Saccharomyces cerevisiae S288C: one gene and its partners. The protein of the gene in region 1 interacts with the protein of each later gene in a biochemical or structural test. Each region holds a gene or a part of one and is shown in the gene's direction. Other genes may lie near its edges. The genes, in order: TIF5, GCD11, SUI2 and NIP1.

Region 1 (3,579 bases):
CTCAGCAGCCGCCCCTTGCACTTCATCTATACCAGACTTCGCCTTGATTAGGCCCGGCGTAGCGATGGATAGTTCATTAGACGAGAAAAACATCCACAGGCCTATGATTCCTAATGCTGCAACTATTCTGATGGCATGGCTTCTTTTGACTATCTGTTTCATCCCTTCGTTCCTTGCACAATCTGTCCAGACTTTCCTCTTTACAAATCACCAGCCTTCCCGTCTTCTTGTCTTCATCACCCACGTTTATTGTTTAATGATAAAGCCTTTTGTCCTTTATTTTTGGTTCCTTTTCCCGCTTCGTTTACCCGGTGGTTAACCTTTCTCTTCCATCTTGTAATATATAATAACAAAATGCATCACCATACTTACGCACCCCATATACATGACCTAAGGGCAGCTTTAGACACAACAGCTCCCCAGAAAAAATGTCCAAAAGAAACACTCCACCGCTCAGATCATCAGGGATAAACACTATTCAAATAAATGCTGCTAGAGAAATGCACGCTCAAACGGTGCGCGCTCGAAGAATGCCCATGCCAACTAGCGGCATCACTACACCCTCTGTGCAACCAACTGCAGCCCCAGCAACACCACCTCGACATATTTGCAATAACCCAAACAATCCGCAGTGTCTCCACTGTGGGTCTGTTATCATTCCATCTCCAAGGGCCACGTTACCCTTGGAGGACAACCCCTCCATCTCCATCAACGACTGGACCATCTCCTCCAGAAAGAAGCCCATTTTGAACTCGCAGGAATTAGACATCTGGGAAAACGAAAAACTCAAAGGTTTGACTTTGCCAGAGATGATTTTTGGTAACAACTACATCAGGATCGAAAATTCAAAACAGCATTGGTCCATAGAGTTCAATGCCCTGGATGCTTTAAAGGAGGTTCAACTCCAGGATTCAGGTATTCGTGTTGCGTACTCAAACGACTGGATAAATTCTAAAAAAAGACAAAATTCAACTAATGGTGCGCAACGGTTCACTAACGATGTGAACGACGATTCCTTAAATATCATACACAAGTACGACTGGACCTACACTACGCGGTATAAGGGCACAGAGAGCTCACCTGAGTCGAAATTCCGACTGGATAACGATCAAAAGCTGCCCCTTGACAAACTGGCCGTACACGATAAAATCCTATTCTATGACGACATGATTCTTTTCGAAGACGAATTGGCAGACAATGGCATATCAATCCTTAACGTCAAAATAAGAGTTATGAACGAAAGGTTACTGCTGCTGAGCCGGTTCTTTTTAAGGGTGGACGATGTTCTGGTGAGGGTCTACGACACCAGGATTTACGTGGAGTTTGACGAAAACGTAGTGATCAGAGAATCCAAGGAATTTGAAGGTAAATATCAGGATGTACTTGCTAAGCACCGGCTATCCCAATCTCACGACCCAAAAGCTGCCTTGAGAGATAGTAATTGGGTAGCACAGAACACGCCGATGATCAAAAGACAATGTGAAATAATTCAGTTCTAACAATCAAATATACAAAACAATACGTACAAATACATACACGTCACATATACATAAGCTCCGGATACATCATACAAGAAATGATCTTAAAATCATGCTCTTACCCGTTCTGTAAATAGTGAAAAATTTTCATCGCGAAGTATGAACGAAAAAAAAAAAAGAAAATAGATGAACTTTTAGCATTTAATTAGTGGCAAACGCCTACCCCTCCTTCCCACTTTGCTGACTTACAAAGACACCACTACATTAAAGAGTATCTCGTGTGTTCTTCTTTTTTTTCCAAAAAAAAAAACTCCTATTATTTGCATAAACACACGTTCACTGGTACAAGATGTCTATTAATATTTGTAGAGATAATCATGATCCATTTTACCGTTACAAAATGCCTCCCATCCAAGCCAAGGTGGAAGGTAGAGGTAACGGTATCAAGACTGCCGTTTTGAACGTCGCTGACATCTCTCACGCGCTAAATAGACCTGCTCCATATATTGTCAAGTATTTTGGTTTCGAATTAGGTGCTCAAACTTCCATCTCTGTTGACAAAGATCGTTATTTAGTTAATGGTGTTCACGAACCTGCCAAATTGCAAGACGTATTGGATGGCTTTATTAACAAGTTTGTTCTCTGTGGAAGCTGTAAAAATCCAGAAACGGAGATCATCATTACCAAAGATAATGATTTGGTTCGAGACTGTAAAGCCTGTGGTAAGAGAACTCCAATGGACTTGAGACATAAACTATCATCCTTCATTTTGAAAAACCCACCTGACTCCGTTTCTGGTTCCAAGAAGAAGAAGAAAGCAGCTACCGCTTCGGCCAATGTTCGTGGTGGTGGGTTGTCCATTAGTGATATTGCTCAAGGTAAGTCTCAGAATGCACCTTCAGATGGCACCGGCTCATCCACTCCACAACATCATGACGAAGACGAAGATGAATTATCTCGTCAAATCAAGGCGGCTGCCTCTACCTTAGAAGATATCGAGGTCAAAGATGACGAATGGGCGGTTGATATGTCTGAAGAAGCCATTAGAGCTCGTGCCAAGGAACTAGAAGTGAACTCTGAGCTCACTCAACTGGATGAATATGGTGAATGGATTTTGGAGCAGGCTGGTGAAGATAAGGAGAACTTACCATCAGATGTGGAGCTTTATAAGAAGGCTGCAGAACTAGACGTCTTGAATGATCCAAAAATTGGTTGTGTCTTGGCGCAATGTCTATTCGATGAGGATATCGTAAACGAAATCGCTGAACATAATGCATTTTTCACTAAAATTTTAGTCACTCCAGAATACGAAAAGAACTTTATGGGTGGTATTGAAAGATTTTTAGGTTTAGAACATAAGGATCTAATCCCACTATTACCAAAAATTTTGGTACAACTATACAATAATGATATCATCTCGGAAGAAGAAATCATGAGATTTGGTACCAAATCATCCAAGAAATTTGTACCTAAGGAGGTATCCAAAAAGGTTCGTAGGGCTGCTAAGCCATTCATTACGTGGTTAGAAACCGCTGAAAGTGACGATGATGAAGAAGACGACGAATAGCTTAGGAGGGGGCAAAAGACTTATGTGTAAATTATTATATGACATGGCGTAAGATAAGGATTATGTTCTGTTGTTTTTGAGCTCGTTGATGTATAGATATGTAAATATTTATAAATATAATATTTCTTCCAAGTGCGACATACTTGGTACTGGCAAAAAACAAAGATGAGACTTTTAAAGCCACTGATTGATTGATTAATTATTAAGTAAAAAAAAAAAAATAAAATGTCGGTGTAATTTGGCTCCACGATCGCATGCGTATACATAACATGAGATTACCGAAGATTTTTCTGAAAGGTAATGCATTATATTATAATCATTAATAGAAGTAGAGCCTAAAGCCTGTTGAAAACTTGTACAATAGAGGAAAAAAAAAGGGTCATTAATCGTCATGTTTACCTAAGAGCGTCTAAACTTTTTGGTATTCTTCTGGGGTAAACGTAAAAACATTGCACCAAGGGCAAAATTGAAAAAAAAAAAAGTTTAATAGAACAGAATGATTAAAATCATTAGCTAATATCCGTATGACCTGTA
Region 2 (3,948 bases), on another chromosome or scaffold:
AAATTACAGTTAGTTGTCACTGCAGATGCAAAAGCCACAGTGATTTGGGATTCCTTCACATGTGACGGGTCAGTCGTGCTTCGGTTTACTTCTGAAATTTATACAGAATCAGTCTTGAGATTAGCTAGAGACGTTAACGCCGGTGACCCACAGTTTTCACTCTGGCCTAACGTGACACAAATGGATCCTGAAACTAAAAAACTGATGACGGCGACCATAAGTGCCGACGGCGGAGGCCCTTCTGAAATTGACCCTAAGTTGGTTGTAAATAAAATCGATTGGTCTTTCAGTAACATCCTGAACACACATGTCCATTTGTCAGAAACCAAACTAGCTGATCTGATTTCCAAGTATGATATTGTTCGCGCTTCTATTCCATTGGGCAGAAGGTCAGCTCAAAGATTAGGAGTCAAGCCCGATTCGATGGTTCAAGTAGCTTTACAAATAGCTCACTATGCTTTGTATGGAAGAATGGTGTTTGGATTAGAACCAGTATCCACACGTGGTTTCAAAAACTCGAGATCATCTTTTATTAACATTCAAAGTCAAGCGCTGTTGGAACTATGTCAATTGTTTATTTCTAGCTCCATTGATGGGACAGATAAATTAGACAAATTTATCCAAACCTGCGAAACACATAATAACATGGTTAAACATGCAAAGTCTGGGGTAGGTTATGAAAAACACTTCAATGCATTGAAATATCTCTTCAAATTTCATGACCATTTTGGTATCCACTTAAGTGGTGATGAATCATCTGCTGCGAAAGATCTTTTCGAAAATCCACTTGTTTTACCTTTCTCACAGCCTGAGTTGATTGTTGCCAACTGTGGTAATGCTGCTACCACGACATTTGGTATAACTCCTGCTGTACCTCATGGCTTTGGAATAGGGTACATCATTAAAGATGATCAAGTAGATTTGACCGTGACATCGCAATTTCGACAGGGTGACAGGTTAATGTTTATGTTAAGTTGGGTGTTAGGCGAAATTCGTTCCTACTGGAGGATGTCACGCGGCACTTCTCATAATAAAACTGGCGTGAAGATCAGTCCAGTGGTCGATAAATTGTATGAAATGGACAATGCAGTCAATAATCCTCCGAAACGTAACGGCCATACAGTCAATGGCTCCCGCAAAACATCTTCTTCATCACAGGTAAATTTGAACAGGTATGGCGGGTTTTTCGATTTGGAAGGCCACATTGACAGTAGGAATATATCTAAAACACCATCGATGAAGAATTTGCAGAAAACCTTCAATGGCTTGACCATGAGCGCAGACAATGATCATTCAAGTTCCGCAGTTTCCGTTCCCACAGAAAAGGAAAAATTAAATACAGGCCATGAAATTTTACAGATCCAACCGCGGGAAGTGGCAAGTAATGGGTTGGAAGCAGATGATGAGACAGATATTGAAATAGTTGCTGGCAATGCTGATGGCACATCCTCTTCGGCATCTTCAGCTACATCTCTAAATTCCAAGAAACGTAACGTCATCAACTCAAGATTCGATATTGATTTTGACCGCAGTCGTGTGGGTAGAAAGGTGGCGACCTTAGATCAATAAGAACGCTCTTTGTTTATCTATTTATTACTAGCATTATGCGTAAGCTTGGCGTGATGTGATATATACTTGTTATATGAAGTATATCAATATGCTTTAATTTATGCTTATTATTTGCTCTCATGTCAGTAACCCGGACCAGATTTGCCATTGAAAAAATTTTCATAGAATAGCCCGATGCTGATCATCAGTACAAAAGACAGAGATTTCATCTCGACCTGTACCAGGAGCTAAGCAAAGAGGGCGGAAAGAGCGTAATACACCGTTAACATCGCGCATTAGAGGTAGACATGAGTGACTTACAAGACCAAGAACCTAGCATTATTATCAACGGTAATTTGGAACCAGTTGGTGAACCAGATATCGTTGAAGAAACGGAAGTTGTAGCTCAAGAAACACAAGAAACACAAGATGCTGATAAGCCAAAGAAGAAAGTCGCCTTCACTGGCTTGGAAGAAGACGGGGAAACTGAAGAAGAAAAAAGGAAAAGGGAATTTGAAGAAGGTGGTGGTTTGCCCGAACAACCATTAAACCCTGATTTTTCAAAATTAAACCCACTATCCGCCGAAATTATCAACAGGCAAGCTACAATAAACATCGGTACCATCGGTCATGTCGCCCACGGTAAATCCACAGTAGTTAGGGCTATTTCAGGTGTCCAAACAGTCCGTTTTAAGGATGAATTAGAACGTAACATTACTATTAAGTTAGGTTACGCTAATGCTAAAATTTATAAATGTCAAGAGCCTACATGTCCCGAACCTGATTGTTATAGATCATTCAAATCTGATAAAGAAATCAGTCCTAAATGTCAAAGACCAGGTTGTCCGGGGCGTTACAAATTGGTCCGTCACGTTTCTTTTGTTGACTGTCCCGGTCACGATATCTTAATGAGTACTATGTTATCAGGTGCTGCTGTTATGGATGCTGCGTTACTGTTGATTGCAGGTAATGAATCTTGTCCACAACCTCAAACCTCAGAGCATTTAGCTGCCATTGAAATCATGAAATTAAAGCACGTCATCATCTTACAGAATAAGGTCGATTTAATGCGTGAAGAAAGTGCCTTAGAACACCAAAAATCCATCTTGAAGTTCATCAGAGGTACCATTGCTGACGGTGCTCCTATTGTACCAATATCCGCTCAGTTGAAGTATAACATCGACGCAGTTAATGAATTTATTGTCAAGACTATTCCCGTACCACCAAGAGATTTTATGATTTCTCCAAGGTTAATTGTTATTCGTTCATTTGATGTTAATAAGCCAGGTGCTGAAATCGAGGACCTGAAAGGTGGTGTTGCCGGTGGTTCTATTTTGAATGGTGTTTTCAAATTAGGTGATGAAATTGAGATTAGACCAGGTATTGTCACCAAGGATGATAAGGGTAAAATTCAATGTAAACCAATCTTTTCTAACATTGTCTCCTTATTTGCCGAACAAAATGACTTGAAGTTTGCTGTTCCCGGTGGTCTGATTGGTGTTGGTACTAAAGTTGATCCTACCTTGTGTAGAGCTGATCGTCTTGTCGGTCAAGTCGTCGGTGCTAAGGGTCATTTGCCAAACATTTATACTGATATCGAAATCAACTACTTTTTGCTACGTCGTCTATTAGGTGTCAAAACAGATGGTCAAAAGCAAGCCAAAGTCAGAAAATTAGAGCCAAATGAAGTTCTTATGGTCAACATTGGTTCTACCGCTACGGGGGCTCGTGTGGTTGCCGTTAAAGCTGATATGGCAAGATTACAGTTAACGTCGCCCGCTTGTACTGAAATTAACGAGAAGATTGCTTTGTCGAGACGTATCGAAAAGCATTGGCGTTTGATTGGTTGGGCAACCATTAAAAAGGGTACTACATTGGAACCCATCGCTTAAGGAACCAATAAAACCACTGCAAAGACAAAAATTTCATAATTAATCTGAAAGAAAGTGAAGATAAGAAACGGGCTAGGAGGAAGGGAAACTGACACTTCTGGTTATTGCAATATGCTCATATACATTGATGCGTAATGACATTGATGATCTTTATTCTCTTTTTATAACGTTTTCTTTCTTTTTTTTTCCTTCTTACATAGTATTCAACTGTATATTTAACATGTTTTACGTATTTTTAAGAAAAAATTACTAAACGCGATAATATTAAGCAAATATTTATCTCATAGTTCTCGAACTCATTTATTTCCCATTGATGCCATGAAAACCTCTCAAACCTTTATCGTCTAGTTACACCAGTAGTCAATAAACTGCCTTTCTTTTTTTACACCCAACATACTCTACACTAAATCTTATCGGTGGTTTGTACATGGAGACAATTGCACAAAGATAATGAAGCTCCAAAATTATTCAGTATCTATTGAGTATATATAACCTTGAAAAGGTTTTA
Region 3 (3,069 bases), on another chromosome or scaffold:
TAAAAGAATGTGACAAGAGATGGGATGCGGGCTTTACCTTGAATGGCCAATTAGTTCTAAAAAAGGACAAAGTGTTAGATATTCAGGGAAACCAACCATGTTGGTGCGTAGGATCCATATATTGCGAGATGAAATATAAACCAAACGTACTGGACGAAGTGATCAATGATACATATGGTGCACCAGATTTAACTAAAAGTTATACTGATAAAGAGGGTGGTTCTGATGAAATTATGCTCGAAGATGAAAGTGGGAGAGTGCTTCTAGTGGGAGATTTTATTCGGTCTACACCCTTCATCACGGGTGTTGTTGTAGGTATACTGGGTATGGAAGCTGAAGCCGGGACATTTCAAGTTTTAGACATATGCTACCCCACTCCTTTACCACAAAATCCTTTCCCTGCACCAATTGCTACCTGCCCCACCAGGGGAAAAATTGCTCTTGTTTCTGGGTTAAACCTCAATAATACATCACCTGATAGGCTATTGAGATTGGAGATTTTGAGAGAATTTTTGATGGGGAGAATCAATAACAAAATTGACGACATTTCTCTAATTGGTAGATTACTGATATGCGGCAACTCTGTTGACTTCGACATTAAAAGCGTGAACAAAGACGAATTGATGATTTCTCTAACTGAGTTCAGTAAATTTCTACACAACATTTTGCCATCTATATCTGTTGATATTATGCCCGGAACCAATGATCCAAGTGACAAATCTCTACCGCAACAGCCTTTCCACAAATCATTGTTTGATAAGTCCCTAGAATCATACTTCAACGGTTCTAACAAAGAAATTTTGAATTTAGTGACCAACCCATATGAGTTTAGCTATAATGGCGTAGACGTTCTAGCCGTTTCAGGCAAAAATATCAATGATATTTGTAAATACGTAATACCATCAAATGATAACGGAGAAAGTGAAAACAAGGTCGAGGAGGGCGAGAGTAATGATTTCAAAGACGATATAGAGCATCGCCTGGACCTTATGGAATGTACAATGAAATGGCAAAACATCGCGCCCACCGCACCTGATACCTTATGGTGTTATCCGTACACTGATAAGGATCCATTTGTATTGGATAAGTGGCCCCACGTTTACATTGTGGCAAACCAGCCATATTTTGGAACAAGAGTAGTGGAAATAGGTGGTAAGAACATAAAGATAATATCTGTCCCTGAATTCAGTTCTACTGGGATGATAATATTACTGGATTTGGAAACGTTAGAAGCAGAGACGGTCAAGATTGACATTTAAATAAAACAAGGAATAATTTCCACATAGATATGCAATTAAGTTTTATATGTAAAAGTGAGCATTCATCGTTCAGCTCAAAATACGTTTCTTGTCACAGCTGGTAGAAAAACTATGAGCGTTTTTTCTTACCCGCAGTCGGAGAAAAATTTTTTCTTCGAAGAGGCGAAAAAGAGAAGAAGAGAAAGCACAAATCTGATGAAATAGTAGTATAAAATCGCATTTACAAATTTTCAACCATTGTTTATTTCCTAGGTCATTAAAGAGTAAAGTGCAATCTGTTTACTAATCAGTTTTTGTCTTCATATTTTTGTGTCTTTTCTGCTGCCTCACGCACCTTCTATAATACACCAAATAATGTCCACTTCTCATTGCAGATTTTATGAAAACAAATACCCAGAAATTGACGATATCGTCATGGTTAACGTCCAGCAGATTGCTGAAATGGGTGCTTATGTTAAATTGTTAGAATATGACAACATTGAAGGTATGATTCTACTAAGTGAATTGTCCCGTAGACGTATTAGGTCAATCCAAAAATTAATTCGTGTTGGTAAAAATGATGTCGCCGTTGTTCTTCGTGTCGACAAAGAAAAAGGTTATATTGATTTGTCCAAACGTCGTGTTTCTTCTGAAGATATCATTAAATGTGAAGAAAAATACCAAAAATCTAAGACTGTTCATTCCATTTTAAGATACTGTGCCGAAAAATTCCAAATCCCTTTGGAAGAACTATATAAGACCATTGCTTGGCCATTAAGTCGAAAATTTGGTCACGCTTACGAAGCTTTCAAACTATCCATCATTGACGAAACTGTTTGGGAAGGTATTGAACCGCCATCAAAAGATGTTTTAGATGAATTAAAGAACTATATCTCCAAGAGATTAACACCACAAGCTGTAAAGATTAGAGCCGATGTTGAAGTGTCTTGTTTTAGTTACGAAGGTATCGATGCCATTAAAGACGCATTAAAATCAGCTGAAGACATGTCCACAGAACAAATGCAAGTTAAAGTTAAATTAGTCGCCGCCCCATTATATGTTTTGACCACCCAAGCCTTGGATAAGCAAAAAGGTATTGAACAACTGGAAAGCGCTATTGAAAAAATTACAGAGGTTATTACAAAATACGGCGGTGTTTGCAACATTACCATGCCACCAAAGGCTGTCACTGCTACTGAAGACGCTGAGTTACAAGCTCTATTAGAAAGCAAAGAATTAGATAATAGATCTGACTCTGAAGACGATGAGGATGAGTCAGACGACGAGTAATCATTGCCGCGCCTAATTTTTCTAGGTGTTTTCAAGTGTCATACTGTTTTAGAAAATTTTGTATAGAACAAATACGTATATCCTGCCATATCATATTCTTTGCAATATACACCTTGTACATTTGGCTATTATAAATATTACAATCCATTTAATCATAATCAAAATTTAATTTCTGTTACCACGGGGTTGTCAGTGGAGCATGCCCTGCCGGTTCTCTATAATTTATCTTTTTCACATGAGATATTTTTACCTCAAAAGGTAGTGATGCTGTAATAATATGAGGCTCCCCCCTTTCCTTCGGAATTGCATTTAAATCATTGGGGAACACTAAGACAAGACAAAGGGGCCGTCCACTCATGTGATTTTCAACAAAACAGATAACATGCGGATACACACTGATATATTTTCAAAGGAAAGTCTGACTGATACTTAAGTGAAGTGGTCCTAGTCGGTGGCTTAGGTGGACTACAGTGCAAAGAATAGAATTTTTCAAACATGTCAATACGTCCAGCAACACATGCAGGCTCATGGTATTCCAATA
Region 4 (4,515 bases), on another chromosome or scaffold:
TACGACAAAAGAACCATGAAACATGACACCTCCATAACGTTTACCTATACTAAATATATCTTATTTTTTGGATTCTTGGTACATAAATATGCACTGTTTGTTATCACGCGAAACGAACTGATTTTTTAACAAGCTTTATTTTATACATGAAAAATTTCCCATCGATGAGCTGTGATCGGCAAGTGAGAGTACTCTGTTTCACAACTACTACCGGTCCCAGGAATATATACTACTGACCACAAAGCTGTGTATCACTTAGTTTGATGAGCAGCACGAGGAAGTTCAAAAAGGTTGAGAAACCTCTATCACAAACCAGACATTATTCACTCTGTATCCCCACGACATTGGTATCGGACTGTCGCAACCTCTCTCAAATCACGCATAAGGTGTACCAAGTGGCCAAGTTTGCATCGCTGTTTAATGTTTCTGAGGTTGTCATTCTTGAGGACAATTCCCAGGTCGATGCCACCAAAAAAAAAATCTCCACTGCTAAATTAATACTGGCACTTTTACAATACTTCGTCACGCCTCCATATCTTCGCAATACTGTCTTCAACGAAAAATTCAGACCTTATTTGACCGCCGCTTCAAAATTACCAAGATTATCCACACTTCCTTTCACCAGGTACCAAAAGCAAGATCACGGTCGGTACAGAGAAGGCCTCACTATCAAGATGCAGAAACCCACCTTGGCTCGCAAAAAGATTGGTAAGGTATTCAAGCAAACCAAATATATTAATATAGGGAAAAGCAAAGCACTGGCTCTACAAAGTCAGCTGGTGCCGATAAACGCAAGGGTCACCATCGACACAATAACGAGGAAAATTGTATCTCCTCAGGAAGCTTACGGTGATTTCACCGGATTGGACTCGCAGTATGGCTACTATACTCGTATAGCGTCATCGTTCACAGACTTGTTTATGAAGGGGCCTTTAAAAGAGGGTTATACACAATCAGTATATGTTCCCTTAACCACGAGAGACACCTCTATTCCCGAGTTATCATCACTGCCTACCGCCGAAACTAATCCCCACATCTTATTGGTATTCTCAACGTGGGACACTCTTGCTCGAGCATTCAAACTGGATCAAGATCAATTCGTAGATTGTCAAGGTCCTCAAGAGTTCTTTGATGCTCAGCTACCATGCCCCGTATCCAATTCGGACGTTGCAGATGCAATCCCCATGACACTGACAACTCTTTCAACTGTATTTTAATCCCAAATTACCTTCATGCAATGGATAAGTACGTATATATTAGAGACGCAATCATTATTATTACTGTCACTTTCCTCTACTCGTTGGAAACGACCAAGCTTTTTTTTTCGCATTTTTTTCGCCGTTGAAAAATTTTTCAATGAGAAAAAGAGCTTTGAAAGGAATGAAAAATTAGCTACAGGTTCGCAGTTGCACTTGTTAGTAGAGTAGCATAGAAGGAAAAAAAGGAGAACAAGGCACATATTTGCAATCTTCACACAATAGCCTGCCAAGCCCGAGATCTACGAAAATGTCCCGTTTCTTTTCGTCTAATTACGAATACGATGTAGCCAGTTCTTCATCCGAAGAAGATCTTTTATCTTCGTCTGAAGAAGATTTGTTAAGCTCTTCCTCCTCTGAGTCTGAATTGGACCAAGAATCTGACGACTCCTTTTTCAATGAAAGTGAAAGTGAAAGTGAAGCTGATGTAGACTCTGATGATTCTGATGCAAAGCCTTATGGTCCTGACTGGTTCAAGAAATCTGAGTTCAGAAAACAAGGTGGAGGTTCAAATAAATTTTTGAAAAGCTCTAACTATGATTCCAGTGATGAAGAATCCGATGAAGAAGATGGCAAGAAGGTAGTCAAGTCTGCCAAAGAAAAACTATTGGATGAAATGCAAGACGTTTATAATAAGATCTCTCAAGCTGAGAACTCTGATGACTGGTTGACTATTTCTAATGAGTTTGATTTGATCTCGCGTCTCTTAGTTAGGGCTCAACAACAAAACTGGGGGACTCCAAATATTTTCATCAAGGTTGTTGCCCAAGTGGAGGACGCTGTGAATAATACACAACAAGCTGATTTGAAGAATAAAGCTGTTGCAAGAGCTTATAACACTACAAAGCAAAGAGTCAAGAAAGTTTCTAGAGAAAATGAAGACTCAATGGCTAAATTCAGAAATGATCCTGAATCATTTGATAAGGAACCAACCGCAGATTTGGATATTTCTGCTAATGGATTCACAATTTCTTCGTCTCAAGGCAATGACCAAGCGGTACAAGAAGATTTCTTCACTAGATTACAAACAATAATTGACTCAAGAGGTAAGAAGACTGTCAATCAACAATCCTTGATTTCTACTTTGGAGGAGTTATTAACTGTAGCTGAAAAACCATATGAATTCATAATGGCTTATTTGACTTTGATTCCATCAAGATTCGATGCCTCAGCTAACCTATCTTACCAACCAATTGATCAATGGAAATCTTCATTCAACGATATTAGTAAATTATTGTCTATTTTAGACCAGACAATTGACACCTACCAAGTTAATGAATTTGCTGATCCAATCGATTTCATTGAAGATGAACCTAAAGAAGATTCTGATGGTGTCAAGAGGATTCTGGGTTCCATTTTCTCATTTGTTGAAAGATTAGATGACGAATTCATGAAATCCCTGTTAAACATCGATCCTCATTCCAGTGATTATTTGATCCGTTTAAGGGATGAACAATCAATCTATAATTTGATCCTAAGAACTCAATTGTACTTTGAAGCGACTTTGAAAGATGAACACGACCTAGAAAGAGCATTGACACGTCCATTCGTCAAGAGATTGGATCATATCTACTATAAATCCGAAAATTTGATAAAAATTATGGAAACTGCTGCTTGGAATATCATACCTGCTCAATTCAAATCTAAATTTACTTCAAAAGACCAGCTCGATTCTGCTGATTATGTCGACAATTTAATAGACGGATTATCGACAATCTTATCCAAGCAAAACAACATTGCTGTTCAAAAACGTGCTATTTTATACAACATTTACTACACTGCATTAAACAAAGATTTCCAAACTGCTAAAGATATGTTACTAACTTCCCAAGTTCAAACAAATATCAACCAATTCGATTCATCCCTACAAATTTTATTCAACAGGGTTGTTGTTCAATTGGGTCTATCCGCCTTTAAATTATGTTTGATTGAAGAATGTCATCAAATTTTGAATGATCTTCTGTCAAGTTCTCACTTAAGAGAAATTTTGGGCCAACAATCCCTACACAGAATATCTCTCAATTCTAGTAACAATGCTTCAGCTGATGAGCGTGCTAGACAATGTTTGCCATATCACCAACACATCAATCTCGATTTAATCGATGTCGTCTTCTTAACATGTTCCTTATTGATCGAAATTCCAAGAATGACTGCCTTCTATTCCGGTATTAAGGTCAAGAGAATTCCTTACTCTCCAAAATCCATTCGTCGTTCCTTAGAACATTACGACAAGTTAAGTTTCCAAGGTCCACCAGAAACTTTAAGAGATTATGTCTTGTTTGCTGCCAAATCAATGCAAAAAGGTAACTGGAGAGACTCTGTTAAATACTTAAGAGAAATAAAATCTTGGGCTTTATTACCAAACATGGAAACGGTGTTGAATAGTTTAACGGAAAGAGTACAAGTTGAATCTTTGAAGACTTATTTCTTTTCTTTCAAGAGGTTCTATTCAAGTTTTTCTGTTGCTAAACTAGCCGAATTATTTGATCTTCCAGAAAATAAGGTGGTTGAAGTTTTGCAATCTGTTATCGCAGAATTGGAAATCCCAGCCAAATTAAACGACGAGAAGACCATCTTTGTTGTCGAAAAGGGTGATGAAATTACTAAATTGGAAGAAGCAATGGTAAAATTGAACAAAGAATATAAAATCGCTAAAGAACGTCTTAACCCACCATCAAATCGTCGTTGATCAATAAAATCAAAAACTACTTCGAAAGCATTCTTAACAAAAAATCATTGTAGATAGAAGAATAACATCAGCAACCAAAAAATATAGAAGGAAACTAAGCAGGAGAGTATAAACCATATTCACTTTTGCTTTTTATTCTTGATATTGCTCATCTTTTTTTTTTTCGATTCTTTTAGCGATCTCTTTATTTTTAGTTTTAGGGTTTGAATCTAATCGTCTTCACTGTACATTACACATAAGCAAATATATATATAGTTTTTTTTGTTACGTAAACACTCTTTATAATATAATACAAACTATTAAACTTTAAGAAAAGTATGATATGCCGCTTTATTTCTTCATCAAATATAATCTCAAAATATATGGATCATGAGTGTTGATAAATAATCCAATAGCCTATCATGGACTATCTGTTTGACATTCTAAAAAAAAAAATAAATTGTACGAACTGCAGTAAATCGGTATTATCATCATGACGCACGATATCAATTCTTTGCAGAAACTGAAAAATTTTTCATTTTCTACCCAGGAAAAAAAGAAAAATGAAATTCACTAAAAAAATGGGAATAC

Evidence for each region.
Region 2: the proteins of TIF5 (region 1) and GCD11 form a complex in vitro, tested with the Saccharomyces cerevisiae proteins (2 studies listed by BioGRID).
Region 3: the proteins of TIF5 (region 1) and SUI2 form a complex in vitro, tested with the Saccharomyces cerevisiae proteins (3 studies listed by BioGRID).
Region 4: the proteins of TIF5 (region 1) and NIP1 form a complex in vitro, tested with the Saccharomyces cerevisiae proteins (6 studies listed by BioGRID).

The regions. Positions count from the first base shown.
Region 1 is NC_001148.4:646,877-650,455, forward strand, and holds TIF5 (translation initiation factor eIF5), read left to right. Parts: upstream 1-1,827; coding exon 1,828-3,045; downstream 3,046-3,579. Other genes in the region: ERV2 (flavin-linked sulfhydryl oxidase), read right to left, coding at 1-162; IRC16 (Irc16p), read left to right, coding at 1-319; TIP41 (Tip41p), read left to right, coding at 429-1,499; PUF2 (Puf2p), read right to left, coding at 3,559-3,579. UniProt on the Saccharomyces cerevisiae protein: Catalyzes the hydrolysis of GTP bound to the 40S ribosomal initiation complex (40S.mRNA.Met-tRNA[F].eIF-2.GTP) with the subsequent joining of a 60S ribosomal subunit resulting in the release of eIF-2 and the guanine nucleotide.
Region 2 is NC_001137.3:203,395-207,342, forward strand, and holds GCD11 (translation initiation factor eIF2 subunit gamma), read left to right. Parts: upstream 1-1,856; coding exon 1,857-3,440; downstream 3,441-3,948. Other genes in the region: carnitine O-acetyltransferase YAT2, read left to right, coding at 1-1,569. UniProt on the Saccharomyces cerevisiae protein: As a subunit of eukaryotic initiation factor 2 eIF2, involved in the early steps of protein synthesis.
Region 3 is NC_001142.9:449,407-452,475, forward strand, and holds SUI2 (translation initiation factor eIF2 subunit alpha), read left to right. Parts: upstream 1-1,613; coding exon 1,614-2,528; downstream 2,529-3,069. Other genes in the region: DNA-directed DNA polymerase delta subunit POL31, read left to right, coding at 1-1,259; MHO1 (Mho1p), read left to right, coding at 3,024-3,069. UniProt on the Saccharomyces cerevisiae protein: eIF-2 functions in the early steps of protein synthesis by forming a ternary complex with GTP and initiator tRNA. This complex binds to a 40S ribosomal subunit, followed by mRNA binding to form a 43S pre-initiation complex.
Region 4 is NC_001145.3:892,418-896,932, reverse strand, and holds NIP1 (translation initiation factor eIF3 core subunit c), read left to right. Parts: upstream 1-1,506; coding exon 1,507-3,945; downstream 3,946-4,515. Other genes in the region: PP1-complex regulatory subunit GLC8, read left to right, coding at 1-19; UPA2 (putative methyltransferase), read left to right, coding at 264-1,217. UniProt on the Saccharomyces cerevisiae protein: Component of the eukaryotic translation initiation factor 3 (eIF-3) complex, which is involved in protein synthesis of a specialized repertoire of mRNAs and, together with other initiation factors, stimulates binding of mRNA and methionyl-tRNAi to the 40S ribosome.